3 linked regions of the Pelodiscus sinensis genome follow. The protein of the gene in region 1 purifies or fractionates together with the protein of each later gene. This does not show direct contact. Links are inferred from orthologs where the notes say so. Each region holds a gene or a part of one and is shown on either strand. Other genes may lie near its edges.

The links. The genes of interacting proteins can lie anywhere in the genome.
Region 2: the proteins of RAD9A (region 1) and RFC5 purify together in Homo sapiens (affinity purification with mass spectrometry; 3 studies listed by BioGRID and IntAct, with this or other methods). This does not show direct contact. The link is inferred for Pelodiscus sinensis from reciprocal best matches to the Homo sapiens genes RAD9A and RFC5.
Region 3: the proteins of RAD9A (region 1) and CLSPN purify together in Homo sapiens (affinity purification with western blotting; 3 studies listed by BioGRID and IntAct, with this or other methods). This does not show direct contact. The link is inferred for Pelodiscus sinensis from reciprocal best matches to the Homo sapiens genes RAD9A and CLSPN.

The regions. Positions count from the first base shown.
Region 1 is NC_134714.1:127,078,198-127,088,081, reverse strand, and holds the start of RAD9A (cell cycle checkpoint control protein RAD9A), read left to right. Parts: upstream 1-5,985; 5' UTR 5,986-6,141; intron 6,142-8,449; 5' UTR 8,450-8,616; coding exon 8,617-8,650; intron 8,651-8,925; coding exon 8,926-8,996; intron 8,997-9,272; coding exon 9,273-9,407; intron 9,408-9,884. UniProt on the Homo sapiens protein: Component of the 9-1-1 cell-cycle checkpoint response complex that plays a major role in DNA repair. The 9-1-1 complex is recruited to DNA lesion upon damage by the RAD17-replication factor C (RFC) clamp loader complex.
Region 2 is NC_134725.1:10,997,490-11,007,827, reverse strand, and holds the start of RFC5 (replication factor C subunit 5), read left to right. Parts: upstream 1-6,307; 5' UTR 6,308-6,430; coding exon 6,431-6,492; intron 6,493-8,947; coding exon 8,948-9,012; intron 9,013-10,338. UniProt on the Homo sapiens protein: Subunit of the replication factor C (RFC) complex which acts during elongation of primed DNA templates by DNA polymerases delta and epsilon, and is necessary for ATP-dependent loading of proliferating cell nuclear antigen (PCNA) onto primed DNA.
Region 3 is NC_134735.1:7,480,704-7,491,439, forward strand, and holds the start of CLSPN (claspin), read right to left. Parts: upstream 4,032-10,736; 5' UTR 3,885-4,031; coding exon 3,873-3,884; intron 1-3,872.

The sequences.
Region 1 (9,884 bases):
TCTGCCTGCACCTCAGCCTGGAATTCAGCTGCTGAGGCAGGGATCGGGACCTGTCCCCCACCTCTGCCTAGGTCCGGAGTCCCAGCCTGGCTGGACCCCGTGTCCACTGGGATGGGACCCTGAGGACGCTGCCAGGAGTCCTTCCCTGGACCCACGTTGTCAGCCCCCCGCTGGCTCTGGCTCCGGGTAGTGACTAGAGCCCGCTGGGATTCATGGGGCCACTCCTCTAGGTCGTTCCCCATCAGCACCTCGGTGGGCAAGTGCGGGTGCACCCCCACTTCCTTGAGGCCCTCTTTGGCCCCCCATTTCAGATGCACCCTGGCTACAGGCACCTTAAACGGGGACCCGTCTATGCCCTTCAGGGTCAGCTGCGCGTGGGGTAGTATCCGCTCCGGGGCCACTATGTCGGATCGGGCCAGAGTCACCTCCGCCCCCGTGTCCCAGAAGCCCGTCACCTTCCTCCCATCCACCTCCAGGGGTATGAGGCACTCGCTCCGCAGGGGCCGTCCTGCCCCCACCCGGTACACGGAGAAATCCGCCTCCCGAGGGTCAGACCTCCCAGGGGAGGTGCACTGAGCATCCTTCCCCTCTCTCTGAGCTGAGGTTTGCCTGCCAGCCCCTGCCTCTGGGGCAGCCTGCCCTTCCTCCCGCCCCAGCCAGTTAACCCTGGAAAGTCCCCGGTCCTGGGACCTGGTGCACTGAGCCCTCTTGTGGCCTTTTTGCCCACAGCGCTGGCAAGTTAGGCTTTGGGCTGTCTCTGTCCAGGCCCTGGCTGGTTCTCTGGGGCGCAGACGACCTGTTCCTTGGTCTCGCCCCGTAGTTGACTCCCTCCGTCGCTCAGCCGAGATCCGGTCTCTGCGCGGTTCCCTTTCTCTCCGGGACTCCCGTTCACACCCGGACCGGCTCTCCGTGAACTCATCCGCCAGTCTCCCGGCCTCCTGGGGGTTCTCTGGTCTCCGGTCCTTGAGCCACAGCCTCAGTTTGGGTGGGCACGCTGCATAGAACTGCTCCATCATGACCAGCTTGAGCAGCTCCTCTGCAGTCTGGGCTCCGACTCCAGACACCCACTTGCGGCCGTATTGCGCCAGGCGGGAGGCCAGATCCACATAGGTCTCCCGTGGCCCTTTCTGTACCCCCCGGAACTTCTTCCTGTACATCTCGGGGGTCAGCCCGAACTTGTGCAGCAGGGCCTCCTTGACTCGGTTGTAATCCCCGGGCTGTAGGTCCTCCAGCTGACTGAGCACTCCGGCCGCCTCCTGGCTCAGTGCGGGGATGAGCTCCTGCAGCCAGTCAGCTGGGGGAACCCGTTGCAGTCCACAGGCCCTCTCAAAGGCACTGAGGAACCCGTCTATGTCACCCATGTCCTTCAATTGGGCCACCACGGGCCTCTCCAAGCATCTGGCAGTCCTGGGACCCTGGGGCCCATCCGCACTTGGCGCAGCCGGTGCCCCGCCGGTTCTCCGCTCTGCCATGGCCAGCTCATGCTGCCGCTGCCTCTCTCGATCTTGGCGATCCCTTTCTCGGTCCTGGCGGTCCCTCTCTCGGTCCTCTACTTCCAATTCCTTGATCCGCAGCTGGATCTCCAGCCGCCGCAGCTCTGCTTGGCTGGCCCCTGCCCTAGATGGGCTGCAGCTTGCAGGCCTCCTGGGGGAAGCTGTCTCATCTCTCCTGTGGGTTCCAGCGCTCCTCCCCCTCTCTGAGCCTGACACACTCTCAGGGGGGGTCTGGCTGCTTCCCATGGGGACAAGATCCTGGCCCTGTGGCTGGTCGTTCTCTTCTAGCTGAGCAATCAGCTGGGCCTTGGTTGCTTTCTGCACAGGCAAGCCCCTCTCTCTGCACAGCCCCACCAGCTCTGCCTTCAAGAGTCGGGCGTAGGCCATCTGCCCGCTGGGCCCCTCGGTGCAGACTCACCAGTCTAGTGCTGCAGCGCCCCACGATTCCCAGGAACCGCTTCGCTCTGTCTCCAGCACGCCTGGCTCCAGGGCTCTTGCTTCTACTGCGCCTTGTCGCTTGCCGCTGGAAGCTCCATCCACGGGGTGCAGTGCATCCCACTTCTGACACCAGTGTGACGGCGCGTTGGGGGTTCCCCGTCTCCTGCACCCCGAAATGGCACAAACAGACTGCACCAGCCAGTGGAATTGAGGGTGGTTTATTGCTCCTCCAGCACAGCGCAGCACAGATGTAATCTGGTTACAGGAACTGGGCTAGGATGCCTCAGGCCCCCTTGAGATGGGGGAGACTGGGCCCCTAAACTCCAGCCCCTTCCCCTAGGCTCTCCTCCATGCCCTCCGACAGCCAGCAACCAACTCACTAACTTCCAGCCCTGCCCCCCAGCCAAGGCAGCATTCCACCTTCCTTTGTTCCTCTCCATGGGGGGTGTCTGGCCACTGGTTTGCATAGTGACTCATCCTGTTTTGCTGGGTCGTGGTACCCACGGCAGCCAGTGGGGGTTCCCCCAGAGCCAGCAGCATAGAAACCAGCCAGGTACCCCCACTACGTCACACCCTGCATGAATGAGAGGGGGGAGCAGTGCTAGGGAGCAGGGGGTGCTGATCCTGTGTGACTGCCGGGACAGGGAAGGGCTGGGGAATAAGCAGGGCTGACCTTGTATGAATGAGGACTGGGGGAGCAATGATGGTGGCACTTGAGAGATCTGACTCCGTGCGAGTGGCTTGGTTGGTTGGGAGCGCTGCAGTATGTTGACATTCCCATATTCACACAGGGTCAGTCTTCCTCAGAGGGGTTATAGATTCTCCTTGACCTAATTTAAGGGCTCCACAGACTTATGTCCCCCCCCCCCCCACCCGCCCCCTCGCCTAGTGCAAGCTTCCCATGTGTCTTCTCCAACACAGGATCTGGGAGGTCAGGAGAGAGGAGGGGAGGGGTGCACATGGCTTTGGACACTGCAGAGGTGTGTGTGTCACGATCCCAGCCAGCTGTGTCCTATCCACAGCCCCATAAAACTCTGAGCCCCGAGGCCAGAGATCCTCAGGGGATGCTTGCTCCATAGGAGCCCGGCTGCTTTTCAAGAGCTGGAACGGACACTCTAAACACCAAATCTAGTTCTTCTGGGAGGAAGAGGGGCTGTGCCAAGAGTCCCTTCCAGGGGCCACTAATGTCCAATTCTTCTCTTCCTTCTGAAGGCTAAACCAAGAGCCCACTTCATAAGCATAGCGATGCAATTCTCATTCTTTTCCTCTCTGCAGGACTGCACCCAGAGCCCATTCTACAGTAGGCACAGAAATCCCATACATAACCAGTCCCCAACATCCACAATCCTAATGGGTACCACCTAAAGAGCTTGCAGCAGCCTCAACAGAAAAGCCAAAAAGTTACTGTTCCAGACAGTCATTAGGCTAATTCAGGGATGGTGGGGACTTAATCCTCCAGCTTCTCTGGCTGTACCTGTTCTAGGAGATTCAGAGAGGGCTCTAGACTCCAGGGCTGTGTCTACATTGGCCCCTATTCCGTAATAGGGATGCAAATGTAGCACTTTGGAATAGGCAAATCCGTGGGGGATTTAAATATCCCCCACGGCATTTGCATTAACATGGCTGCCGCTTTTTTCCGGCTTGGAAGTAGGAATAAGAGATCCTCTGAAAAAGAGCTTATTTTCCGGAGGATCGCGTCCAGACTGGCGCTTTTCTCCGGCTTATCTCCAAGCCAGAAAAAAGCGGCAGCCATGTTAATGCAAATGCCACGGGGGATATTTAAATCCCCCACGGATTTGCCTATTCCAAAGTGCTACATTTGCATCCCTATTACGGAATAGGGGCCAATGTAGACACAGCCCAGGGCTCTCACTTCTACGGTTCATCTCCTCCACCATCCCTCATGTCCCACACACTTAAGCAACACACCCTAAACATATTAACCAGAGAGAGACATTTTAAAAAAGAAAGGAAATGAAACAAGGTGGGAGAGAAAGGAGGGTAAATGCTTCACAGACACATATTTATGACTCAATGGATTGTGGGACCTAATGCTACCATTTTCTTCTTGGAATAAGTAGGGATGTCAACTTGTAGTGGACTATACGATTAACTGATAAGCTTAGGCAAACCCCTAAGATAACAAGCTATACATCTCTCCCAGCCTGGACTCAGTTTCCCTCCCCTATAAAAGCACTCTCAGAGGTCTGCTCACACTAAAAGGAACTTTCATGTACAGCTGCTGCAAGGGGATATGAGGCTACCAGGGCCATATGCTCCCAATGCCTGGAGTCACAGAAGGGAGGGGACAGAGTTGCAGTTAGCAGCAAGAAGTACCTGTAGCATAAAAGCCCTTTTGTGCTGCACAGAATGCCCCTTGGAGAAACAGTCAGAACTCCCATTTCTCAGGGAAACAAAACTTCTGGTTTGCCCCATAGATTCAGCCCAGTGACGGGTTAGAGAACCAGCTGCTAATCTGGCTCACACAACATCAGCAGGATGGTTAGCTCTGCCCAAGGGCTCTTGGTTACACTTGGGCAAACTAATGAAGGCAAAGGGGTTAGGGTTGTGTGGGACTCACCCAGGGGCAGGACTCAAAGGTGAGGAAGGGGAAGGTCACAGGACAGATGGGGTGTGGACTGCACATAGGTCAGGCTGTGGCCAGCCAAATCATTCTTGCTGGTGGTGCTACAAGGCTGGGAAGTCTTCAAGCATGTTCCTGGGACATACGAGGCTTTTGTGTCACTGAGATGAGTACAGGGCCCCACAAGGCGGGTTTGACAGCCACGCACCAGAACAGAGCTGCTCAACTAAACATAATTCACCTGTGCTGGGTTGGGGGAGGCTCCACGATTCTGCTCAGCTGGGGCACAGGGAGGGCGCTGCAGCCTGGCAGAGCATCCCGAGCTGGGAAGGTGCTAGGAAAGCCCTTGCAAAGGTTCCTCTTGGCCTGATGCTCCCTGGCCTCATCCTTATATCCGGACGGGGTGCCAGTGTCAGGGAATGGCTGAGCGCCGCCACAAAGAGGCAGACTGCGGTTGCTCTTGGCGATCACAGCCTCCAGCAAACTAGGGTAGCAAGTCTGGGGGCCTGGGGAGGGAATCTGAGTCCTGAGTCTCCAAGCGCAGGATGGGGGGGGGGGCCCAAGGGAACAGACTCAGGAAGCAGGGAGGGTACTCTGGTGGGGGGGGCAAGTGTGGTTTTGGGAAGACAGCCCAGGCCATGGGGTGTGTGGGGGTGACTCTGATATGGGGCAGGAAAGGAGCCTGGGCCTAGTGTGAGCTGTCTGTGGCCTTGGAAGGGGGTGTCTGGGGGAAGGGGGGGGCTGAGCTTGGGGGGGGGGGAGGATACAGACTCTAGTGAAAGAGCTGTGAGGGCTGGCAGGGGCAGGACCTGGGCTGGGGGGGGGGGGCAGGGGCAGGACCTGGGCTGGGGGAGGGGGGACCATGGGGTAGGGGCAGGACCTGGGCTGGGGGAGGGGGGACCATGGGGTAGGGGCAGGACCTGGGCTGGGGGAGGGGGCATGGGGCAGGGGCAGGACCTGGGCTGGGGGGGGACCATGGGGCAGGGGCAGGACCTGGGCTGGGGGGGGGGTCCCATGGGGCAGGGGCAGGGCCTAGGCGGGGCAGGGGGTCCCTGAGGGGATCCCAGGTGAGCAGGGCAAGACCTGCCCTGCGGGGGTGGCAGAGGCAGGCCTGGGCTGGGGGTGTCTGAGGGGAGACGAAGGCGCCTAGGCCGAGCTGAGGCTCTGGATGGACCCCGCTACGTTACCTCCCACATTCGAAGCCCCATTGGCTGGTAGTTCTGTCCCTCTATCGGCCCAGCCAATCAGCGGCGTGCGGCTCCTCCAATGGCAGCTGGGGACGGGTCCACCCGGCGCAGCGGCCTAGGTGACGCGGGGACAGCCACAAAGAGGCTCCACCCCGGGAGTTCCAATGCTCGCTAAACCGGCGCGGCTCCTCCCCGGAGACTTTGTCACATGACGAGAAGAGCTGGCTTTCCCCCGCCACGTGACCCGAGAACCAATAGGATGCGCTAAAAGGCGACGCAAGGCAGGGCTCGGCCAATGGGAAGACGGCTGGAGGAGAGGAGGCGAGTGGCGGCCGGGCGCGGCAATTGTGGGGGGTGCTGGGCGAGACCATCAGGCACAAGTGCTGTCTCTGCAGGATCCCCCGCGTGCATCAGGGGCGAGGAGCGACCCCCGGGCCAGGTGTGAGGGGGCGGGGCCACGGTGGAAATGGGCGGGGCTGTAGTGGATGGGCGGGGCCACGGCAGGGACCTTGCGTGGGGTGGGACGGGACGGGGTGCCAGGGGGCAGCATGTGGGGTGGGACGGGGTGCCGGGGGGCAATGTGTGGGGTGGGCCAGGACGGGGTGCCGGACACGTGGCAGGGGTGCAGCTTGTGGGAATAGGGCCTGACAGGTACCAGGGAGGCAGTGGGTGGTGGGGAGGACTCGGTGCTGCAGAGTGTGTTGATGCTCCCAGTAGCTGCACAACTCCATTGGCAGCAGCATCTTCCCTTGGATTTCTGTTTCCTATGCCGGAGAGCAGCTCTAAGGCTGGAGCGGCATCAATAAGCCCTTCCGAGCCCTTTGGATGGGAATGCACAGGGAGAGTAGCAGAAACTGGCTTTTAGGGCTGCAGGCACCGGACTAACAAAAAGAGCTATCGCCTGGGCATCCCAGCTGTGTCTGGCCTTGGTTCCCAGTGTGGTCAGTGATCCGTGTCCAGCTGAGGACTTAGGGGAGAGGTGGGCAAAACAGCACGAGATGTTCAGTCTCACTAACCCAAGCAATAGATTGATTGGCTCAGCACATCCTTAACATCCTGTTTAGACAGCCACATCACAGTGACTAATGCATCTTCCCACCCCAGGGTGGCTGGTGCCCTGGAAGAGGGCATGCCCAGCTCACTAAGGAGACACTGTGAAAATGATAAGCCATTGTAATCAGCACAGGACATAGAAATGGAACTGGGGAGAGAAGAGAGACTGGTTAAAAGAAAGGCTCTGGGCTGCAAGTTGCAAAATCAGAAGCACAGGGATCTAGGGGTCATAGTGGACCACAAGTTGAATATGAGTCAACAGTATGATGCTGTTGCAAAAAAAGCAAATATGATTCTAGGTTGTATCAACAGGTGTGTTGTAAGCAAAACTCGTGAAGTCATTCTGCCGCTCTACTCTGCACTAGTTAGGCCTCAGCTGGAGTACTGTGTCCAGTTCTGGGCGCCACATTTCAAGAAAGATGTGGAGAAATTGGAAAGGGTACAGAGAAGAGCGACAAGAATGATTAAAGGTTTAGAGAACATGACCTATGAAGCCAGGCTTCATGAACTGGGCTTGTTTAGTTTGGAAAAAAGAAGATTAAGGGGGGACATGATAGCGGTTTTCAAATATCTAAAAGGGTGTCACAAGGAGGAAGGAGAAAATTTGTTCCTCTTGGTTTCTGAGGACAGGACAAGGAGTAATGGGCTTAAAGTGCAGCAGGGGAGGTTTAGATTGGACATTAGGAAAAAATTTCTAACTGTCAGGGTGGTCAAACATTGGAATAAATTGCCAAGAGAGGTGGTGGAATCTCCCTCTCTGGAGATATTTAAGAACAGGTTAGATAGACATCTGTCAGGGATGGTGTAGATGGAGCTTGGTCCTGCCTTGAGGGCGGGGGGCTGGACTCGATGACCTCTTGAGGTCCCTTCCAGTCCTATGATTCTATGATTAAGTGTAGCCAGGACATGTGGGAGGGATGATCTGGCAGCCAGAACCTGGGGCAGCTGGAGTGGCCAGAAGGATCTGGGAGCAGGGCAGGTGGCAAAGGAGACCACCTGGGTCTGTGATGGGATGAGGATGCAGGACAGGCCGGTGCTGGTTGAGACTCAGTGTGCATCTCCCACAGCAGGAACGAGCCCTATTCTATGCAGAGCTGAGGCAGTTGGATGTTGTGTTAGAAGCTGGGGCTCTTGATACCAGACAGGGATTGACAAACCCCAAGGTTGAGAATAGCCACAAAACTGTACAGGGAGTTGGAAGGGACAGTTGGCCTGAGGGCAAAGGAGTGAGCCCCAAGAAGGGAGAGGGGTAAGATTAAGAGCTGCAGCAAGGGGCTAAGAAGGTGCATCTACCTCTCTTGATTCCTCCTGGAGCTTCAGTCTGACAGGGGTTCCTGCTTGGCACTCCTGTGTGGCTGTTAAACAGCTGTCCTCCTTCCCCTCAGAGGTGGCTGCAGGTTGGTGCTGGGTATGGGGAAATGCTTTGGTAGCCTTCAGGGGAAAAGAGCTAGGAATGTACTGAGTTGATTATTTAGGGGTGGGGTGGGCCACTGGCCCACAAAAAAATCAGTGAGGGCCACACATACCTGAGAAGCAAAACAAAACCCCAAAAACCCACCTCACTGACCTGACTCCCAGCAGGTTTGGGGCTCACACTGCAGCCCTGCAGGCTGGATCCAAGTAAGCCAGGGACCAAATCTAGCCTGCGGGTGGTAGGATCTTCATGACTGATTTAGGATGTGGTCTCTCTCCAGCATTTTCTACTTATTTGTCCCTGGAAGAGGTCCCTGTGCAGCGCCGGAGGTAGACTCTCTCCATCACCGGGCTGGATTATCTCAGGGTTCAGGGCGCTGTGATTGGAATGGGGGTTTGAAACCCGCCTGCAAGGGTGGGGAGAGCCCATCTGCATCACTCTGTTGCCATGAGGTGCCTTGTTACCGGGGGCAATGTCAAAGGTGAGTGCCGGGCTACCATCTGGGCATGGGGTGGGGAATGGGGCATGTGGCAGGTACCAGCTCCCATCTGGCCCCAAGGCGGGGGGGGAGTGGCTGGCTCAGCAGGGGGGGGAACGGATCAGGGGCCTTTCCCTCTAGGAGGCACTGGCTGCAAATGGCTGTGTTTCCTGCCTCAGAGAGCTGGAGTTAAGGGGAGTGAGGACAAGATGGGGCTGGACCTGGGGATACTAGGTGGAGACAGGCCCTGGGTCACAGTCTCTCTCTTTCCCCCTCAGTCCTCGGGAAAGCTGTGCATTCTCTGTCCCGCATCGGAGACGAGCTCTACGTAGAGCCCACGGAGGACGGGGTAAGGGTGCAGCTCTAACCAGTGGGGGTGGGGGCACTGTTCTGATCCGAGGGGGAGGGGAGAACTGAAGGGAGAGAGCTTCCATCAGGGTTTGGGGGTTATTTATCGCAGGGCTCCTAGGGGAGTAAGTTGGGTCACCCTGGTTGGTGATGGAGCTGGCTCTTCCCTGAGGAGCTGCTGGGGATGAGGTGCTGGGTGGTGACAGGGCAGGCTCTCTCCTGGTAAGGGTCGGGGGGAGAGACTGTTTAATGAAGGGGTTGGCTCTCCCTTCCACAGCTCTCTCTACGTGCTGTCAACTCCTCCCGCTCGGCCTACGCCTGCTTCCTGTTTGCCCCGCTCTTTTTCCAGCTTTACGAGGAGGGGAGCCCAGACCCCGATGGGGAGACCTTCCGCTGTAAGGTCCTCATGAAGGTGAGGCTGCTGTGTGGGGCATCCAGGACAGGTTTCATTGGGGTGCCCGGGGGCAAGGCACAGGAGTAACTGGGATGTGGGGAGTCCTGCAGAGGGCCCTGGCTCGATTGTCTGTGTGTGGGGCTGGGCTCAGTTGCCCAGGGAGAGCTTTCTCCTAGCAGTTTGTCCCTGGTCTCTGTGTCAATGATGTGGGACTCTCCGTGGGGTGCCCTGCAGGGATCAGGAGTGGTGACTCTCTTCACCCTTGGCAGTGAGTGTAGCTGGCACGAGGAGGGGGGAGCAGGTATCAGGGGCTTGTGACCACCCTGTTCCATGGAAAAGAATCCTGGTGGGAACTGGGACTTCTGGGTTCTTTCCTGGGTTACAGCAGGAGGGCTGGGAGGCAGGATTCCTAGGTTCTTTCCCTGACTCTGGGAGGGGAATCGGTGTCTTGTGGTTACAGCAGGGGAGCCGGGAGCCAGGGCTCCTGGATTCTGT
Region 2 (10,338 bases), on another chromosome or scaffold:
CTTGTAGAAGCTCATGGTTTTTTGGTAGGGAAGTAGGGGATAGGCATGCTGGGTCTGCAAATTCTCATCCAAGAGCTGAGTACAGGGATGCCTCAATCCCTGGGGCTGGCCCTACTGAATCTGAGAGATTTCAAGGCGACACCTCAAACTCTTCTCCCATTTTTTTGATGAAACTATGAGTCAACTGCCTGAGCCTGCTAACACCTCTATAGCCCCTCCTTGTGTACCACCCCCTGGACCAGCTACCCCTCCCATGGACTGCATCTCTCACCACCCCCCACTCCTCCAGGACCATCCAGTATCAAACCCAGGACCAGTGCCCAGATTTGAGGGATCCCCCCCCCCCACCTTGGATTAATTTCTCACCCACCCAGCATCATCCAGTGCTGCCCCTTGGGCCAGTGCCCCTCAAAGGAGACCTCCCCTCCCTCCCCCCCACCATGGGCTTCATTTCTCACTCACTCCCTGCGGAATTGTCCAGCCCCACTTCCTTCATCCCCCTACAATCCTTCCTTCCCCCTCACTCACCCCCAATGGTCCAGCCCCACCCCTCCACAATCCTGCCCTCCCTTCACAAACAAAAGGAAGTTTTTCTTCACTCAGTGCACAGTCAGCCTGTGGAACTCCTTGCCAGAGGATGTGGTGAAGGCTAGAACTTTAACAGGGTTCAAAAAAGAGCTAGATAGATTCATGGAGGTTAGGTCCATCAATGGCTATTAGCCAGGATGGGTAGGAATAGTGTCCCTAGCCTCTGTTTGCCTGGAGGGGGATGACAGGGGAGGGATCACGTGAGGATTACTTGTTGTGTTCCCTCCCTCTGGGGCATCTGGCATTGGCCACTTTTGGCAGACAGGATATTGGGCTGGACGAACCTTTGGTCTGACCCAGTATAGCCGTTCTTATGTTCTTATGATGAAAGGAAGGTTGCTGGCCAGTTCCAGGCAAAGGGGGCAGCATGACTGGCATGCAAAGCTGGAAGCAGGAACAGAGAAGAAAAGATAATATGCAAGGGGGAGTTAAGTAAAAGCCAAGTTCAGAACCATCATGTATATTACAATATATTTTACAACTGAAATCTATATCCACTCAATGCTCTTTGGAATACCCTAGTGGCACTTCAGTGTTGTCATCTGTTAATTACAATGGGTTCTCAGGAAAATTAATTAGATTTGCTGAGTTCTGATTGGAATGATTGCTTTTCCCTACATGTTTTTAAAGAAATAGCTTGTTTTGGAGAAGTACATTATCTTAATATAATTGTGTCATTTCACCCAAATCATATTACACTGAGATATTATGTGACCTACAACCTGTTTCAAACCTTCATGAGCTGTGGGGGTGGAAAAACCTTTAATGTTAAATATCAGGCTCCAGTGCCAATGATAACAAATATACATTGGAGGCAGATACAGTGCAATAGCACTAAGCCTATCATTACAGAAGATTTAATAATGGGAAAAATTGTTTGTGCCCTTTTTTGCTTTTTTTCATTGTATTTTATTTTTGAAGATTGAAACTCCTTTCTTGCATATTCCATTTTTCCTAAGAGACTATGACCTGCTGGGATGTTGGCATATGTATAACATTAGAGGCACCAAGCAAGAAAATTGATTAATAAAAAGGAATATTTTATTGAAATTGTTTTGAACTCTGGGATGCTTTATGGTTGTTTTTTAACACCTTTAACACACATTTGAGAGCAAAACCTCTTTTTTTTGTTAATAATTCAGTTTGTCCACCAATACAACTAAGGCTAAGAAACTCCAGAGCCCACATCTCTAAATGACTGGAGTCCACCAGCAAAAACAGGAAAAATTAAAACAAAAAATCAGAAATGTCAAGTTTTAAATTAATAAAAAAAAAGATTATTTTCAATAAAAAGGAAATTCATATGCTAAGTCTTCAGGCCTCCATTATACATCACACAGAAGAAAGGGGCATATTATTTTTTTCTGCTTTGTGCTCTACGTGCTGTTTGATTTACATTTGGAACTGTGCATTGTTTGTGATCATGATTTAAAACACTTAAAGTTTCATAGTCTCCCATTCTTAGACAAACTAAGTGACTCACTCCGCTCTTTCCATTCTCCTTTCATTATGCTAAAGATTTAAGGATAACCTCTCATCACACTAAAATGTTTTATAAGAGATCTAACACAATCTTGCTTTTTGCAAGATTGGAGTACACTGATTTCTCCATATACCGGCATGCCAATATCGTCCCATTCAATATTCCTTCCAGCTTAAGCAGATGATGAGTTCCAAATATGTACGTGTGGATAATGTTTCGTGACTAACAAAAATATGCCACTCAGGACACTTATAACTTTGAATTAAATAACTGGGGATGTGTTCAAGATAATCCTTTTACCTATTGCTCCCTGTCTCCAAAAAGTGAAGTTTTATTCAAATTATTTCAAAAGCAAGAGCTCTTAACAGTTTTTTTTTCAGTGTTACAAAAGGCAATTTAACCAATTAAGGCTCACAACTGGATCCCAAGGGCCTGCAAAGCCCCATGGGTAATTCCCAGGGGCGCTAGAGCAATTTTTATAAATAGGGTACTGACGATGGAAACCACATATTTGGTATTATTACTTCAAAACAGGGAGTGCAGGAGTACCTCTAGTTCCAGCACACCGGTAATTCCCCCTGAGCCGGTGCCTGCACGCCATGTGATGGGAGCTCACTGCAAGACTGGGGCAAAGTATTTCTAGGGGTCCAGACGCTAAGAGGAGGAAAATCAGCATAGTTTCCAACATTTCCTGTTCTGGTGACAGGGCCGTCCTTAGGGTGGGGGAAACAGAGCAGTGGCTGGTCCATAGGGTGCGGGGCTACACTCAGGGCTGCAGGGGCAGGAGCAGTGTAAGGAGGCGTAAGTGTGGGAACTCAGGGGCGCTGCAGCACCCCCACCTTTACGTGGATTCCTCGCTGCTGCCAACCCCACATCCCGGGTCCGGCTGCTATCCAGGGCTCCACCACTTGCCCTGAACCTCAGCTTCCAGCCCTGTCTGGGTCCCTGCACCGTGAAGTGGAGTGGATAACCACGGACTGAGCACAGCCCGGGGTGGAGGATGGCTGCTGGCATCAGCACTGCCCAGCACCTTGTGGTCCCCTTTTGCAGTGGTGGCCTTAGGCCAGTGGTTCTCAAACTGTGGTCCTTGGACCACCACCTTCCAGGTAGTCCGCAGCTCAAGGTCAGCCCCGTCCTTCCCCCCACTTCCTGCCTCCCTCCTTCTCCCTGCAGCAGGAAGCTTGCACTGGCTCTCCAGCCTCGTGCTCTCACTCCCACCAGCAAGGTTGGTGCATCACTGCTGAGTTTCCTCTGTGGTGGACGGGAAGCCCTGAGCCTCCCTGCCAGATTATGGGGAAGAAGTGGAGCCGGAAGCAGCTCTGTGCACTGACACTCTCCCTCCCACTTCTTCAGCTGGGGAAACAGCAGTGCACAGCCCCTCTGCCTGCAGGCTTTCTCTGCTGCTCCAATTGGCCGGATTGACTGGGAGCAGCATGGCGCACAAAAGCAAACAAGTGCTCTTTCTTCCCCTCATGCCCAGATCCTGCATTCTCACCCTGCTTCTGCACCGCTCCCCACTGAGACCCCGTATTACCAGGCCACTCCTGCACCCTTCTCCCTGGCCAGACACCCGACCACCAGCCTTCTCCTGCACCCTCTCCCCTGGTTAGACACCCTTCTCCCCCACCCTACTCCTGCATGCTCCCTTGCTCTTGCACTCTACCCCTGGCCAGACACCCTCAACCCGCTCAAGCACCCTCTCTTGCTCCTGCAACCTTCCTCCTGGCCAGACGCCCAGCCCATGGTAATCCCTGAACTGCAGTCTTCCCTGTCCCTCTCCTTGACCCCATGGGGCTGAAACCCCACAGGAGTGAGGTGTCCCAGTTGGGGGCCACATCAGTGAGGGCTGGGGGGTTTTGGATGGATTTGTTTTGCTTTTCACTTGTGTGGTCTCCAACTGATTTTTCTGTGGGTTAGAGGCCTCTGAGCCAAAAACAGTTCCTCACCCCTGCCAAAACATTGAAACCTTTTGTGTTGAACATAAAGTAATACTTCAGAGGGGTAGCCAAGTAGTCTGTAACAGGAAAAACTTTAAAAACAACAAGTAGTCTAGTAGCACTTTATAGACTAACAAAACATGTAGATCAGGGGTCTCCAACCTTTTTAACCACAAGATCACTTTTTTAATTTAAGAGCCATGTAAAATCTACCTCAAACCCAAATAACCTTGCCCCGTTTTCTTCCAGCCCCTTCTTTGAGGCCCTACCCCTTCTTCACCCCTTCTCCGAGGCCTCACCCTCACCCTGCTCACTCCATCCCCCTTCCTCCCACATCCTCACTCTTTTTCACCGGGCTGGGGTCAGGGGTTGGGGTGAAGGTTCTGGTCTTTGGCTAAGGGATTTGGAGTGTGGGAGGGGCTTCGGGCTTAGCCCAGGGTGGGGGATTGAGGTCCAGGAGGGGTTTCAAGGTGCAAGCTCTGGGCTGGGACAGGGTTTCAGGAAGCAGGCTCTGGCTGGGCACCGTTTAATTGAGACAGCTTCCGGGTGGTGGAACAGTGGGGCAGGGCAACCGGTCCATATAGGCGAACTAGGTGGTCTCCTAGGGCACCAAGTTAAATGGGGCACCAAATGATGGCACAATATCATTGAGGGGTTTGGAGGTGGGGGCGCTGATTGCATGGTTCGCCTAGGGCGCCAGTTGCTTGCAGCTAGTCTAGGGCCGCCCCTGCAGTGGAGTTAAGGCAGTCTTACTCCAGTCCTGGCCCTGCACCACTCCTGAAAGCAGCTAGCATGTAAAGCAATGGCTCCATGCTGCCCCTCATCACAGGCACTGAGCCCACGGCTTCTACTGGCCACAGTTCCCCATTACTGATCAATGGGAGCTGCAGGAGTGGTGTCTGCAGGCAAGGACAGCATGTGGAGACCCCCTGCTCTCCCTTTCTCAGGAGCTGCATGAACATGCCAGCCACTTCCAGGAGCAGCAATTCCCACAGGGGTAATTACTCCAGCCATGACAGGTTAAGCATTTTAGAACTCACTCCTCAAAGAAATACATTTAAGCATAAGAGAGAAATGAAAATTATGAAATGAACAGACTAGTCAGAAACCAAAAATAAAACACTTCACAAAGAGTAACAGAAGTAACAACAACCCACATTTCTGTTAGGTTGGGAGATGTGAGTGAAGGGCAGTATGTGTTTGTGAGAATGATAGAGACACACATTGTGTGAGAGTGACAGAGATTTGCACTGCCAAGCTCCCGCCATCCCCTTCTCTCTGTGTGGAGACAGGGTACAGGAGTGGGGGGAGGAGGGACACTCTGACATCAGCACCCCCCATCCTCTCCCTCCCACATCCTGCACAGCAAGAAAGAGGCTCCCAGGGGGACAGCTCCAAGGCAGCCGGCAGGAGCAGCATAAGTGTGGGTGGAGGAGTAACTGGAGTGACAGTGCTTGATAGCTTCCTGGCCAAACCAGTCAGGATCACCTGTCAGAGGCTCCAAGCTCTACCAGTAGATCCTGATCTACTGGTTGGTGACCATTGATGTAGATGGTATCACAAGGTTGTTTTTCCTTTATAAAGTAATTCTGTAATTTATTTAAAATGAAGTTTAATAAACTAACATAAGAAAATTAAAACATTTAATTAAAACTCTTTAATAATTTAACATTTCCTTTCTTACTGGTTAAGGTTAAATCAAACCATTCTCTCTACCTCCAGCACTAGCAAAATGACTCAGGCATAATTATGTAATTAATGGCGAGTTTCCATTAGCAACTGGTGGTCCAGGGAAAGGTTTGCGTAGAAACATGTGAGGTTTGAAAACCACTGCCCTAGGTGTACATAGCAGGCACTAAAAGTGGGGCTTCCTGCCCTACAGTGCTGAGGATTCAGCATATGCCTAAGGATGGTGATTTTGTCAGGTTTTGTGTTCCTTCAAGCCCCACCTCCAGGATTCAGGCGACTCTCATTTTTTTTTATTATTATTATTATTAACCAAACAAGCAAGCTCCTCCACCTATGGTTGCAGAGGAAAGCTGCAGAATGCTTGGGAGAATGCTGGCTTAAGCCAAGCGCAGCGCTCAGAAGGCCAATCCACTGCAGCGGTGCTGGAACTAGGGGCACTCTTGCACCCCGGGGGCCTGCTGTGGGTTCCAGCCATTGCAGCTCAGTGCAAGGATCAGTGGCTCGCTTGCCCCGCGGGCCCAGCACCAAGGTGGCCGCGCGCTCAGCACCTGGCCCGAAAGCCACGTGCGCAGCCCCAGCGCGCGCGGGCAGCCGGGGAAGGGGAGGGGCGGGCAGCCGCGCGCTCTCGCGAGGCCCGGGAGCTGTTTGAGCGCGAGCCGCCGGGCTCTCCTGCTGCCCCGGGCGCGGACTGAGCGCCCCGCTGCAAAGGCGGGGAGGGGGCGCGCGCGGCCCCATGGAGTCTGCAGCCCCCAAGCAGCCGCCGCCGCCCGCCGGGAAAAGCAGGAACCTGCCATGGTAGGAGAAGCACAGAGCCTGGGCCCAGCGGTGCCGCGCAGCTGGGGTCGGGCCCGTCCAGCCCTGCCCCCCCCTCCCCCGATGCATGCTAAAGGGGGGGTTGGGTCCCTGCATCCCCCCTTTTCCCGCCAATTGCACGCGGGAGCTGGCATGGGGTGTGCAGGGGAGCTAGGATCCGCGAATCCAGCCCCCACTGTTGCATGCAAGAGCTGGCATGGGGTGTGCAGGGGAGCTAGGATCCGCGAATCCAGCCCCCACTGTTGCATGCAAGAGCTGGCATGGGGTGTGCAGGGGAGCTGGGATCCGCGAGTCCAGCCCCCACTGTTGCATGCAAGAGCTGGCATGGGGTGTGCAGGGGAGCTGGGATCCGCAAATCCAGCCCCCACTGTTGCATGCAAGAGCTGGCATGGGGTGTGCAGGGGAGCTAGGATCCGCGAGTCCAGCCCCCACTGTTGCATGCAAGAGCTGGCATGGGGTGTGCAGGGGAGCTGGGATCCGCGAATCCAGCCCCCACTGTTGCATGCAAGAGCTGGCATGGGGTGTGCAGGGGAGCTGGGATCCGCGAGTCCAGCCCCCACTGTTGCATGCAAGAGCTGGCATGGGGTGTGCAGGGGAGCTGGGATCCGCGAGTCCAGCCCCCACTGTTGCATGCAAGAGCTGGCATGGGGTGTGCAGGGGAGCTGGGATCCGCGAGTCCAGCCCCCACTGTTGCATGCAAGAGCTGGCATGGGGTGTGCAGGGGAGCTGGGATCCGCGAATCCAGCCCCCACTGTTGCATGTAAGAGCTGGCATGGGGTGTGCAGGGGAGCTGGGATCCGCGAATCCAGCCCCCACTGTTGCATGCAAGAGCTGGCATGGGGTGTGCAGGGGAGCTGGGATCCGCGAATCCAGCCCCCACTGTTGCATGCAAGAGCTGGCATGGGGTGTGCAGGGGAGCTGGGATCCGCGAATCCAGCCCCCACTGTTGCATGCAAGAGCTGGCATGGTGGAGCAGCTATGGCGTGGGGTTAGCTCCCTCTCCCCGCCCCCTTGCCCTGACTGCATGGAGGGCACAGCTCAGGCTATACAGCCCTGGGTTCTCCCTTCCTGTTTGCAACTCTTGCTTGCCCTCCCTCCCCTTGTGTCTCGTAGTTACAGGCTGCAGGCAGATGCGCTGCAATGGAGTATTCATTGCAAGGGATGAAGCTCGGTAAAGTTCAGGTTGTAGGAGAGGCCTAGGATAGCAGTAACAGCCGTTCCTAAAGTCAAAATAACTCCATGCCAAAGGGTTATGCAAATTGCCCCGGACTGTCCTCTCACCAGTGCTGGCACGGGGTAGGAAGTAGGATATAGCCCGCTTTTGTCAAAAATAGTTCTCTATGTCTTGCAGCCTTAGGAAGGGTCTGCCTCTCCTCCCCTTCCCAGATCTGGGGAAGCCACTCCTTCCTGAAGTGAGAAGAAGAGATGTTGGGGAAGGAAGGGCTGGCTTCAGATTCTGAGTTGGTGTAAATTGGTTCATGCTAGTTTGTTTCTCACCTGGTCTGATCTGGTGTGCCCTCCCCTGCCATCCATCTCCCCTGAGTAAATCAACAACCAAGTCTTTTATGACTTCAAATGCCATGTTCCTCCTGGGAGGTGGATCCCTGTATGTGGGGCAATTTGTCCAAAGTCAGCTGTTCCCTAGGGATTAATAGAAATAAGGCTACCCTGCTGTGGTGGCTCAGTGTTCACTGAGCCTGGCTTGCTTTACACTCAACACAGAACATCTGTTTAATAAAACATGGTGCCCAGCCAGTCCTGTACTCAGCCACGAGAGCGCACCTCAGCTGCTCTGTTCTAGTGGGATCATTTGCAATTCCCAACTCAGTTGACTCCAGCTTCTCTGCCCACCACCCGCAATCAATCCCCAGATTAACCCTTGTAAATGCCAGTGTGAAGACCTAGGACTTGCAGAGTATTTTGCGGTTAGAAGCATGGAGTTGGATCTAGTTCCTAAGGGCAGAGTTTTTCTAATTGTATAAGGCATGACAAAACTTTGGGGCATTTAAAGATATTGCAGATGCCAAAAGAGCAGGCTAGTCTTCAAAAGGGAACTTAGTCTCCAAAAGGGAACTGCAGGTGCCTGGATTGGGTTCTCTGTGCTAGGATTCAGCCAGGGCTTGGATTTGGCAATGCCGGAACCTAAGTTTGTGCAGAAAAATTACAAGTTCAGCTCATTTTGTGAGGGTTTTTTTGTCATCTTAAGGGTCAAACAGATCCCTTTGACTTGCAACCAGAACCACAAGGCTAGGTTCTGATGTCAGCCAAATCCAGAGTAGATTGAAGGTGAGTGTTTATCTAGCCTTGTGGGTGATTGTCCAGCATGGGGAAGAGAACAGAAAAATCTCATGTCTGGGACACCTGTTTTCTACACTTGTGAAAAGCCTGAAATCTCTGCTCATCATCTGCATTTATGTTAAAATACCTTTATCTTTAGGGTGGAAAAATATCGCCCTCAGACATTGAACGACCTAATTTCACACCAGGACATTCTGAGCACGAGTGAGTACTTAGTATTACCAGCATTTTTCTTTTGAGCCTCCTTATGGCCTTTACAGACATTAACTCCTGTGATACCTTTGGGCTTGGCAGCTATAATTTCCATTTTATAGATGGAGCCACTGAGGCAAAGGTCATCTGACTTGCCTAGGGTCACAGAGAAACTCAATGGAAGAGGTGGTAGCAGGACTTTGGCAGCAGGACTCCTGACTCCACATTATGTGACGGCAGAAGAGAAGCTGCATTATCTAATGACTGTGGAAACTAGCTTCTTTGCAATGGGTGGCAAGCTTGCAGAAACCAGTTAAATAGTCACTTCCTGTCATGCAATTAGTGATGTGTTGCCATGATTTTAACCAGGGTCTCATCATAAACCCTTTTAGGACATCCATGAGTCTTTTAGGGGGAAACTCTGGTTCTTTTATATGGGATGGTGGCCTAGACTCTGTAATGATCAGTGTGGAATTGCAGAGAGAGATGAAAGGTAGAAGATGCTACAGCTTCTTGGAATTAACCTGCTACGAGGCTGCTCTTTGCACTGGGAATGCCTTTCCTGCCTTCTGTCGTATTTTAGTCAGCTTTTTAGTGTCACTGTTGTAAGGAAAGTCAATCCAGCTTTACAGACTTGTGGAATTCCATGTATGCGGTTTTTTATGGTCCTCAAAAAGACCCATTCACATGTCCTCCTTGGTGTTAGTGGCCACAGATTTGTGACCGTGGGTACCTCAGCCAGCTGGGAGGATGAACCTGTCCACACTAGCAGTTCCCTGAAATTCCCCCGGTTTTATCCAACTCCCCAGCAATGGGCAGGTTGACCCGATTATTCAGCTGCAAGGCTTTCCTGAGGAATGTCTTTCCTTCACATTTCTGGCTAACATGACGGCTAATTAATATATCTGTCTTATACCCAGACACGTTCTAGGGCTGTGTTCTTGCTCCTCGGGGAGATTGTCCTCTTAGCTTCTTTTCCCCTTGAGGTGTTTGTGGCAGTTGCTGCACTGGCAGGCTTCCGAAAGTAAGCTAGGCAGAGAAAAGCAAGAGGCAAAAAACAAGGCCCATGCGCCCTGCTTCACTTCCCTCCATTGAGAGTTGTGTTGGGGAGGTCGGCTGGCTCTGTGGGCAGAGTGCAAGGAAAAGGGGCAGTCGGAATTGTTATAGCCTGCTTCTGAGGAGAGCAGCCCCTCTCTGGAAGAACAAACGAGGCCCATTCCTGCTTGACCCCACCACTTACAACATTCTAGCTCCCTTGGCTTCCATTTTAGGAGGCCTGAGGGAATCCCCAGTATGCACCAGTCACTACAGAGATGAACATGACCACCTCCCCTGCTG
Region 3 (10,736 bases), on another chromosome or scaffold:
TGGCAGATGTACTGGGAACCTGAATGTAACCGCATAGTACATGGTTACACTTTCACAACCCTATTCGTAAGTGGAGTATTTTGCATTTGTCTCAATTGAATTCATCCTATTTACCTCAGACCATTTATCTAGTTTGTCTAGATTATTTTGAATTATAACCCAATCCAGCAAAGCACTTGCAAACCCTTACCAGTTTGGTATCATCTGCAAACTTTATAAGTGTATTCTCTATGCCATTATCTAAATCATTGATGAAAATATTGAACAGAACTGGTCCCTACACTAATCCACTGCAAAACCCCACTCAGTATGCCCTGTCAACCATTGATAATACTATCTGGGAATGGTTATCCAACCAGTTATGCAACCAACTTAGGATGCATAGGATCCACCTTAGGAGCTCCATCTAAGTTGTATTTTCGTAGCTTTTTAATTAGAATGTCAGCAGGATTGTATCAAATGCTTTAATAAAGTCTAGATATACCACATCAATTTTTCCCCTTTATCCACAAGGCTTGTTATCCTGTCAGAGAAAGCTATCAAGTTGGTTTGACATGACTTGTTCTTGACAAATCCATACTGACTGTTACATATTTTATTATCTTCTAGATGTTTGCAAATGGATTCCTTAATTATTTGCTCCATTATCTTTCCTGGCGCAGAAGTTAAACTGATTGGTCTATAATTCCATGGCATACCCTTATTCCCTTTTTATAGATGGGCACTTTATTTGCCCTTTTCTAGTCTTCTGGAACCTCTCCTGTAGTCCATGAATTTTCAAAGATAATCGTTAATGGCACTGGTATCTCCTCAGTCAGCTCCTTGAGTAGTTTAGGATGCATTTTATGAGGTACTGGAGACTTGAAGACATCTAATTTAAGTAATTTTTAACTGTTCTTTGCCTATTTTAGCGACTGAACCCACACCTTTTCACAAGCATTTGCTATGTCAGGCATCAACCTTGGTTATGTTAGGGATCAACCTTATAGGTGAAAACCAAAACAAAGAAGTAATTAAGCACCTTTGCCTTTTCTAGGAATATAAAATCCCATTTAATCAGTTAACAGGTTAACATTTAACTGGTTAACCACTTAATTTCGATCCTGCGGTGTGACAGGTCCAGCCAGGCTGGAATGGTCTCCCCTGCCCTCAGTGTGACATGATGGGCCCTAGCTGGTCCTCCTGCCCACCCAAGGCATGGTATGGCATGATGGGCCCAGCTGGACTGAAGCTGCCCCCTGCCTGTCTGCAGTGCAGTGGGCCCGACTGGGTTGGAGCAGCCCCCGCCTGCCCGTTCACCCACCCACAGCATGGTGTGGAGGGCCCAGTCAAGCTGGAGAGGCCCACCCATCCACCCCTTGGATGATTGACTGCTCCATCCCAGCCAGGCCCGCCATGCTGTGGGCTGCTCCAGACAGGCCAGTCAACTGGTTATATCCCTACCTATTTCCACATTTTCTGTTAGTTTTTTCCTCTTTTTGTAACGGGCTGATCCTGTCCCTGCTCTTCTTTGTGCTTCTAATATATTTGTAGAATGTTTTCTTGTTATCCTTTATGTCTCTAGCTAGTCTGAGTTCATTTTGTGCCTTGTCCTTTCTAATTTTGCCCTTATATATTTGTGTTATGTGTTTATATTCATCCTTTATAACTTGACCCAGTTTCCAGTTTTTGTAAGACTCCTTTTGTTATTTTTAAATCATTTAAGATCTCCAGGTTAAACCAGCATGGTCTCTTGCTGTACTTCCTATCTATTGTATACAGTGAGATAATTTGCTCTTGTGCCTTTACTAACCTCTCTTTGAAAAACAACCGTCTTCAATTATTTTTCCTCTTAGACTTGCTTCTCATGGGATCTTATCTACCAACTCCCTGCATTTGCTATAGCTGCCTTCTTGAAATCCACTGTCTTTTTTTCCTGTTCTCCCTACAATCATTCTTTAAAATCATGCACTCTGTCATTTCATGATCACTTTCACCCAAGCTGTCTTCCAGTCTCAAATTCTCAGCCAATTCCTCCCTATTTGTTAAAATCAAACCAGAACAGCCTTCCCCAGTAGCTTTCTCCAGCTTCTGAAATAAAAAAAATGTCTCCAATACATTCCAAATACTTGTTGGATAATCTCTGCTCTGCTATGTTGTTTTCCTAACAGATCTCTAGATAATTGAAGTTTCCCAACACCACCAAGTCCTGTGCTTTGGATAGCTTTGTTGGTTATTTAAAAAAAAAAAAAAGCCTCATCCTTTTTAAAGCTGGCTCCTGCTTCTACACTCCTCCTGCTGCCTCTGGTATAGAGGCAGCAAGGAGGGGATTGCAAGTAGTCGACACGACTATTTTTTTTACATTGCTTAAAAGCTGGCTCCCTCCTTCCCCATGGTGAGGGGAGGGTGGGCAGGGAGGCAAAGATGCAGCAGTACTGTAGATCTGCCTTTTAAATATAGTAAAAGGTACCTGGCTCTTGCTACATTTAAAATCCAGAGGCACAGAGTGGAACCCAGGCAGCTTTTACTACATTTAAAAGGCAGAGCTGCAGCAGTCCAGGCCTGGCTCATGCTGGGTACCAGACCTACCCTCGCTGCAGCTATGCACGCCCAGCACCTACTACATGTAAACTGCATAACCCAAGTGACCTTTTATCAACTAATCATGTACTCAACACACATTATATCGAGTACACAATTAGTCATTTACTCACTACTTAACATTCTTAATTCCCATCCCATTAGGAGGACCTTAGTTATCCAGTGTGGGTCACGAGGACAGCATATTTATGGTGCCCCCAGTTACGCCGGGAATCTCAGATTCACTGACCGCACCACAAGAGAACCATTGACCTGGCTCTCAACCAGCGGTACACATACTTCGGGGGAAGGGATGTGCAGATATCTTTCAGGCGTCCATCAGCTTACCTACATATTTACCTGGTTTTACAACAGGCTACATAAAAAGCACCAGAAAAGTCACTCCAAACTAACGGTCGATGCAACTTATTTATACAGCGCACTGCAATATTTACAGCCCAACACATTTGACAATGCAGTGGAAGCAGGACAGTCAGCAACATTTCTGTGCCAGGTTTGTATTTTTGGCTGTGGCTAGACTGGCAAGTTTTTCCGCAAAAGCAGAAAAACTTGCCAGCTGTCTACACTGGCAGCTGGAATTTCCGCAAGAGTACTGACCATCTCATGTAAGAAATCAGTGCTTCTTGGGGAAATACTATGCTGCTCCTGTTCGGGCAAAAGTCCCTTTTGTGCAAAAGGGCCAGTGTAGACAGCTCAGATTTGTTTTGCGCAAAAAAGCCCCGATGGCGAAAATGGCGATCGGGGCTTTTTTGCGCAAAAGCACGTCTAGATTGGCACGGACGCTTTTCCACAAAAAGTGCTTTTGCGGAAAAGCGTCCTGCCAATCTAGACGCTCTTTTCCGCAAATGCTTTTAACGGAAAAACTTTTCCATTAAAAGCATTTGCGGAAAATCATGCCAGTCTCAACTAGCCTTTGAGTCTGAGACTGCACACAGGTCGTTTGTCAGAGCAGTGAAACCTGCGGGAGACACCAGCCCAGCCTCCTGCAGAGGGCCCCCCCCCATAGTATGAAATGGCTGAGCACCACGGACGTCTTGGCCACCGCCTCGCTGAGCTCAGTGTGCCGAAGGGCACGCTGGGACGTGTAGTCCTTACATGGGCACAAGGCAGGCTGAGACCTCTCGCCGCCACTGACTGCAGTGCATGCTGGGACGCGCCGCCTACGCGCCGTGCATGCTGGGAGTCGTAGTCCCCGCCAGCTGCGGGAAACTCAACAGAGAGGGGACAGGGGTCACTGCACCCCCGCCATCCCCTCTCGGCGCCTGCCGTCAATGCAGGCCGGGAGAGCTTACCTCAGCCGCCATGACCCCAGGCTGCGCGGTGGTGGGCAGCACCCCTAACGCTGGCTGCCCCTCAGGAGTCCCCAGGTCTCCTCAGCTGCCGCCGCCAGCGATTGAAACCCCTTCGATTCTTCGCGCTCTGCAGCAGCTAGCCCCGCCCCCCACCTCGAACCAATCACAGCTCGTGCTCTGCCTTCAGCCTCCGCCTTACTCGGCTCCCTAGTGGATGACTGGCCCGCCTTGCAGGTCTGCGAACCAATCGCCATCCGGCTCTGAGCCTGAGGGGGGCCCCGGCTGTGCCAGCATCCCATTGGCGCCTCACCGCTGTCAAGTCCCTCCCGGCTCGCTCATCGCCTCGTCTGCTCCGAAGGGATAGAGGGGCCCGCTGGGCCTGAGCCGCTCTAGCCGCACATCACGCAACTCGGGGCTAGTGACCCTGGCCAAATGGGATGGGGGCCGCAGTGCATGCTGGGGGCTGCCTGGTTTGGGCCTCCCTCTGGGGGCCCCCCCAAGTTCACAGGGGCCTTCCACTCTTAAGGGCCCTGTGCTAATGTTATTGCTAGTGCTGGACCCCCCCCTCCCCCCATCCTCTCCGCCCTGGAGCCCTGTGTCCTAAACCCGCTGTGGAGAGCCAAGCAGGACAGACCCCCTTCCAGTCCAGTGCCGGGCGGCGTCTGCTCTTTCTGCCCGCGCAGCCTGCTGCCAACGTACAGCCGCCCCCACCTGCGTGCGTCGCCCCTCGACTTCTTGAACTGGACTCCTCGAAGGGCAGGACTGCGCGACGGGTCAGCTCGACGGGGCCGCAGCCTGCGCTGGAAGCTGGGGTTCTGTGCCGCGGCTCAGGAGAGATTCAAATGCTGCCCTGCTGACGAGCAGAGCCCCCACCCACTAGGTTTTTGTGTCTGCTGGTGGTAGGGATCATAGAACCATAGAACCATAGAGCTGGAAGAGACCTCAGAAGGTCATCAAGTCCAGTCCCCTGCTCTAGGCAGGACCAATTCCAACTAAATGACTAATCGATTAGTCGATGTAAATGACTAATTGATTAGTCAACTATCCGATAAGCAAAAGTTTATCAGATCGTTGACACATTAGTTGACTTGTCGCTTCCCCCCACCTTGCTGCCTCTGTCAGAAAGGGGCAGTAAGACAGGGGAGAGGTGTGGGTGTTGGGGGGAGCTGGTTTAAAAGCTGGTTCCCCCCAGCTCCATGGGAGGGAACAAGAGCACAGCGGGGGCGTTCCACCTTTGAAATGTGCAAGAGTCCCCACTGGCCCTCTTGTATATTTCAAAGCAGAAGCGCTGCAGGGATCCTGGGGCCAGCGAGAGATTCAGAGTCCCCCACTGGCCCCAGGCTCCATGTGGTATTTCAATCTTTGAAATGCACAAGATCCCCTATGTACATTTCAAAGGTGAAACGCTGTGCAGCACTTCCACCTTTGAAATGTAGCAATAGCCGGGAGCGCTCTTGCTACATTTCAAAGCAGAAGCGCCCTTATCAACAAATTGAACAGTTGATTAATCTAATTTTAACATCCCTAGCTGGTGTTGCATATTTGCAAATGCATTGGTGCATATAAAATTTATTCTGCACATGGATAGAAAATATTAGTGGGAACATTGTCCAGCGGGTGTTAATAGACACAATAAATTGACCAGTGATCATTCTTCTGTCAACTCTATAGACATCTATATGGCTCTACCAAGAGTTCGTCAGCAATCTAAAAATAAAAATGGAATTCTACAAAAAGTGGAAACATGGACAATTTGTTAAGAAGCCATACAAACATATAAGGATAAAATTAAGGCACAAAATAAGTTACATCTAACAAGGGCCATAAAGAGTAATAAGAAAAGGTTCTATAAATACATTAGCAAGAGAGGTGAAGGAAATACGTTCTCTTGTTAGCGGGGGAAGGACATCTAATAACAGTTGACAATAAGGCTTAGGAGTTTAATATCTGTTTTGTTTCACTTATCACTAAAAAGGTAAATTCTGTTTTGTTTCACTTATCACTAAAAAGGTAAATTCTGGGGTATTTATGCCCCAGGACAATACCGTTATGTTTGGATTACATATATTCTAGTATTGCACCTTGGTTAATCTATTACATGGAAGCCCTGTTGTTACTAAATTCACTTTCTGCAGCTTCTGTAGTATCAGTTATTTGAATCAATCCTGTTTGGTATCTGGGAGCGAGGTTTTCAACAGTTATGGGTCTGTGCATTACATTTTGTTAGGAGCAAAAATTAATAATCACATTTCTTCTCTGGGTTTACAAACTATACTGATGGCTCTGCTTGCCTGATGAATTTGACAGATCTGCAAATTACATTGGTAATTATGTAAAAGCCACTTTGTGGGCAAGAACCAAGTTAGTAGCTGAAATGGTTTTATTTAAGTGACGTAATTGCAGATAGAGATACATATTTCAACAGAGTGTAAATACTGTTGTGGCCAATTAAGATTTCCCATTTGTCACTATGCTGCATACCATGGCCAAGGGAATTTAATGGTGGCAGCAGAGAGAGAACTGTGTTCCACAAGGAAATGCTGCAACCTCTCGAGCAAAAGGAAAACGTTTATTAGCTCTTAGCAATACAGGGTTTATGATACACATCAGTTCTCATTTTATCCAGCGGACAGCAGTGGTGCACACTCATCAGCAAAGTCATTACAAAAGCATTTTTAGACTAAAAGAAAAGCATGTAGTCACAGAAGCTGACATTTAAAATCCTGAGAATGCAGCTGAATCAATTATATAACATGAAGGCACATGTACTTGGTTGAATTTAACAAGCAGTTCAAAAGCAATTTTACATACTTAAGTACATGCTTATAAAGCCAAAAATAAATAACTTACTTTTTCTGATTCCTCAACACAACAGTGATCAGCCAGCCATTACTCAGCCAGCAAAATACAATTTTGTGCTAACATTTAGCAAAAACAACACTTAAGAATTTCAAAATTAAAAATTTGCAGAATTCATGAGAGTGTAAAATGATGACAACCAAAGCCTACCAAGCAAGCTTCACAAAGTATTAATCATGGTTAGTACATTAGTACATCGGTGTACTGTAGGTTTTCAAATATTGGTCTAAATTCATTCTTGGTGTTACTTTTATTTTACAATGTAACAGGGACACAAAAGGAGATTCCTAGAATGATATGGTCAGAACAATTTTCAGAAAGCTCAGGTCCATTTGTAAAGTTTTAAAATTAAGAAATCTGATTAGATACAGCAGATCTGCCTATTCATTGATTTCTTCAAGAGAACTTTCTTCTGCAATAGGCCAGTTAGGAGACACATGGGGCACATTAACCCACAAAATCAGTTCATTCAAGAGACACCCACTGACAGGTCAGCATGCGAATGCAAAATTATTCATTGTCTTACAAAAGTATGTAGAATCAACTAGATAACCTAGCCATTGGCAAGCCTTAGTGCAGCTGTGCACTGGGAATGCCAGCTGATCTGCAGACACATCTTGGCCTGGATCTACAAAAGGATTTGGATCTTGTCTACATTACGTGGGGAATCAATGTCTGCTTAGACACAATAAATCGATCTCCAAGTGTGCTTCCACTGATGCCAATACTCCACCAAGATGAGAAATGTAGCCAGCATCAACAGGAGAGCAGCTCCCCCTGACCTTACCTCACGCAAGACGCTGTGGTAAGTATGTCAACTTCAGCTCCACTATGTGAAGTAGATCAACTGCACAGGTAAGTGTAGACAAGGCGTCACAGTGCCTATCTTTTAAGAGCCTCAAAAATCATAGGAACAACACTGTGACCCACACAGCTGCACACATAGACATCTGGGCTCTCTATACAATGAAGGGAAGGAGAGAGACTATCATTTTAAAATGCAATCCACAAAAGCCAGCACTCTATTGACTATAGACCTAAACTGATGACAGTGTGTGTTAAGCTCCACTTCTCTGAAAGATAGCTGAAGTTTTGACTGTAGCTACTTAGTGATCCATTACTGGGAAGCTGCTGCCTAGAGTCAGGCAGCCTAGGCACCTGTTATGGAGATGAGTTAGCTACTCTGCTGCCCTTGAGCTACAGGAAAAGGATGGAGGAAGAGGAGGAGATCATGTTAGAGTGCTTCTTCTCAGCTGTGAGGTTTCAGGTTCAATTCCCACTGGGGTGGGGAAAGGAGACCCCTATTCAATTCCTAGTTCTCAGAAGACTTCCTGAGCTCTGGGATAATCTGGTGTGGGACTTCCTTAGTCTCTCCTGTTGAAGCTGTTCCACTGTGGATGCTTAGAGAAGGGCAACTGACCTAGGGCCTTAGCACTGGGCTAGAGAGTCAGTATTCCCTGAAAACTTAGATGCTATAGAGGAGTTGTTTTGTGGATCACAGTGGAGGGAAAACTAGGACTTACAGGTACCTAAACCTGAGACATAGGCACCCAAGTACCTTTGTAGTACTAGGCTCTGGTTTATTTGCTTAGCCATTTTTGGCAGAGATAACGTGGCTGTATGATTCTCTGTACTGCGTGGGAGTACATGCTAGAACATAGAGGTGGAGGGATGTGGCATGTGATCATTTCTCATCCAAGTTTCCCTAGCCACTAAAAGGGCCTTCTACATTTACTTTGGTATATCTAGCTTGCTTTACTTGCACCAAGCCAGATGCCTGTAAAATGCTAATGGCTACATCTATACTGCTTACTTCTTGTGCACAAGCCTATGCAAATAGAGCACACATTAGTATATTATTGCGCTTCATTTGCATAATTATTTAGGGGCCGCTTTTGCGCAAGAGGTTTTTGCGCAAAAAGGAGCTGTGTAGATGCCTAGGGAATCTTTGTATCAAACACTCTTCAAGAGAGTGTTCCATAGTTACAGCAAGGGAGGCTCAGCTGTATTCCAGCCTTATATCTTCCTAGTATTATTTATATATAAAGAGATGTATGTATGTTGTTTTACAGAGTGGTGAAAAGACAGGACTCCCTGCCCATGACAATGTTTAGTATAAACAGGCAACAATGCAGATGAAGGAAAGGAGGTGACATCAAATCAGCAGATATATTTCAGTGTTACACTAATTATTTATTATGAATTATTATTATTAATATTGTAGCAATGGAAGAGCATGCGGGGTGGCAATTACACCTCAAATTAGGGCTTATGTGGGACCTAAAGGGTGCATACACTGATGGTTGTGGACGATGGCACAGGAGGGAGCTCCAGCATCAGAGAGTAAACCAGTTGTAATTCCAACATACGCGAAGTGCAGCTACTTCCTCACAACCCAGGAAACACCCTTTGGCTTCTGTTTTTAAATAGCCCAAGAAACCCACAACCTTCTGCCTTTCAGGAAGCTCAATCACTGAATAGAAAGTTTATAGTCACAAGATCCATATTTCGCCTGGTGGTGAAAGGAGGCTGGTATTTCAGAATTTTACTAGCAGTGTTGAATGCTTGCCTTCACTTGTTCAGAAAGTTGGCAGCCCTGTGCATAAAAAGTGAAGTTAGTGAAGTGGTTAAAAAAAGAGAGAATTACTAAACAAGGAAGAATGTAAACAAGCATAGCCCACACCAGAGTGTAGTTTACCAAATGAGCAATGCCTTTGAAATGATAGCAAATAAACAATACATATATATATTGCTTCCTGGCTTTGTTAAATTTCAAATAACAATATCTAATCCACCAAGGTATCCAGATAAATTACAATGTGCTCTGTAGGGCCACACTCTGTCAATGGCAGACTCTCTGTATCCACATGAAGCCACACAGATTTCTGCCAGCCTACAGCTCATTGTAAGATTGAAGCCAAAGTTGGTATTTGTGCTCCAGGCTGGGAGCTAGGCAGATGGAGTTCTGTGAATACACACCCACTATAAAGTTGTCACAGATCTCTCCAACTCACTAAATAATAGCTACGCCAGCCGTATCGCTGTAGAGAAACATGGCCTGAATCAGGATGTTCATATAAAATCTAATTATATTCTCGTTTAAGGTTAAAGTACCACTGCAATGCAGTGGAGATGTATCCTTACAAACATCAGATCTCCAAGCAAACTCTTCAACAGGAAAATGAGAAAGCCGTGTAAACAACTTAGTAGCTATGCTAGAGGCTTAAATGGGAGTCAAAGAAGTCCTGATTTGTGGTCATAATCAATACAGGGTTTAAACTTTATTCAAATACAGTTTTGTATCTAGTTTGTGTATCTTATTTTGATGCTGTTTCGAAATACGGTAGCTTATTTTGTCATTTGGTGCTGTCCACACAGCACCAAGTTTCGAAATAAAGCACTACTCCAAAATGTCCCTTACTCCTCATAGAATGAGATTTATAGGTACATCGGAATAGCAAGCCCGAAATAATGGACTTGCTGTGAAGACACGGGATAGCTATTTTGATATATTCCAGTATCCCAAAATAGCATTGCAATGTAGATGTATTTTTAGTGTTTAATGACCAAACTTTTAGAGGCATCACCCAATTCCAAAGTGATCACTTCCCAGCCAAATTCTGAGTGACATCTCATGATTATTATTGATCCATTTCTTTGTGTTAACTATTAGCTGTTGGATATTAACCAATCATTAACTCTGGAAAGAAAAATTATTGCGCTTACCAGAACACTGTGAACTTGCACAAAAATGAGCTGTTCTCGTTAAGATGTGACTCTATTGCAAAGTTGACAAGAAACCAAAGTTCAAATTTGGAATGGCTTTTAGTATAATTTTCATCTCTTCAAAGCATCTGAAGATCTAATTAATACAATTTGCTCTGCAGTGGGAGGTTATATAGTGTGCAATTAGGTTAAACAAATACCCTGCATTATATAGGGTTTCTGGAGGTAGAAGGAAATTCTCACATGAAGAGCTTTGAGGCTGGACCTATGGGTTATAAA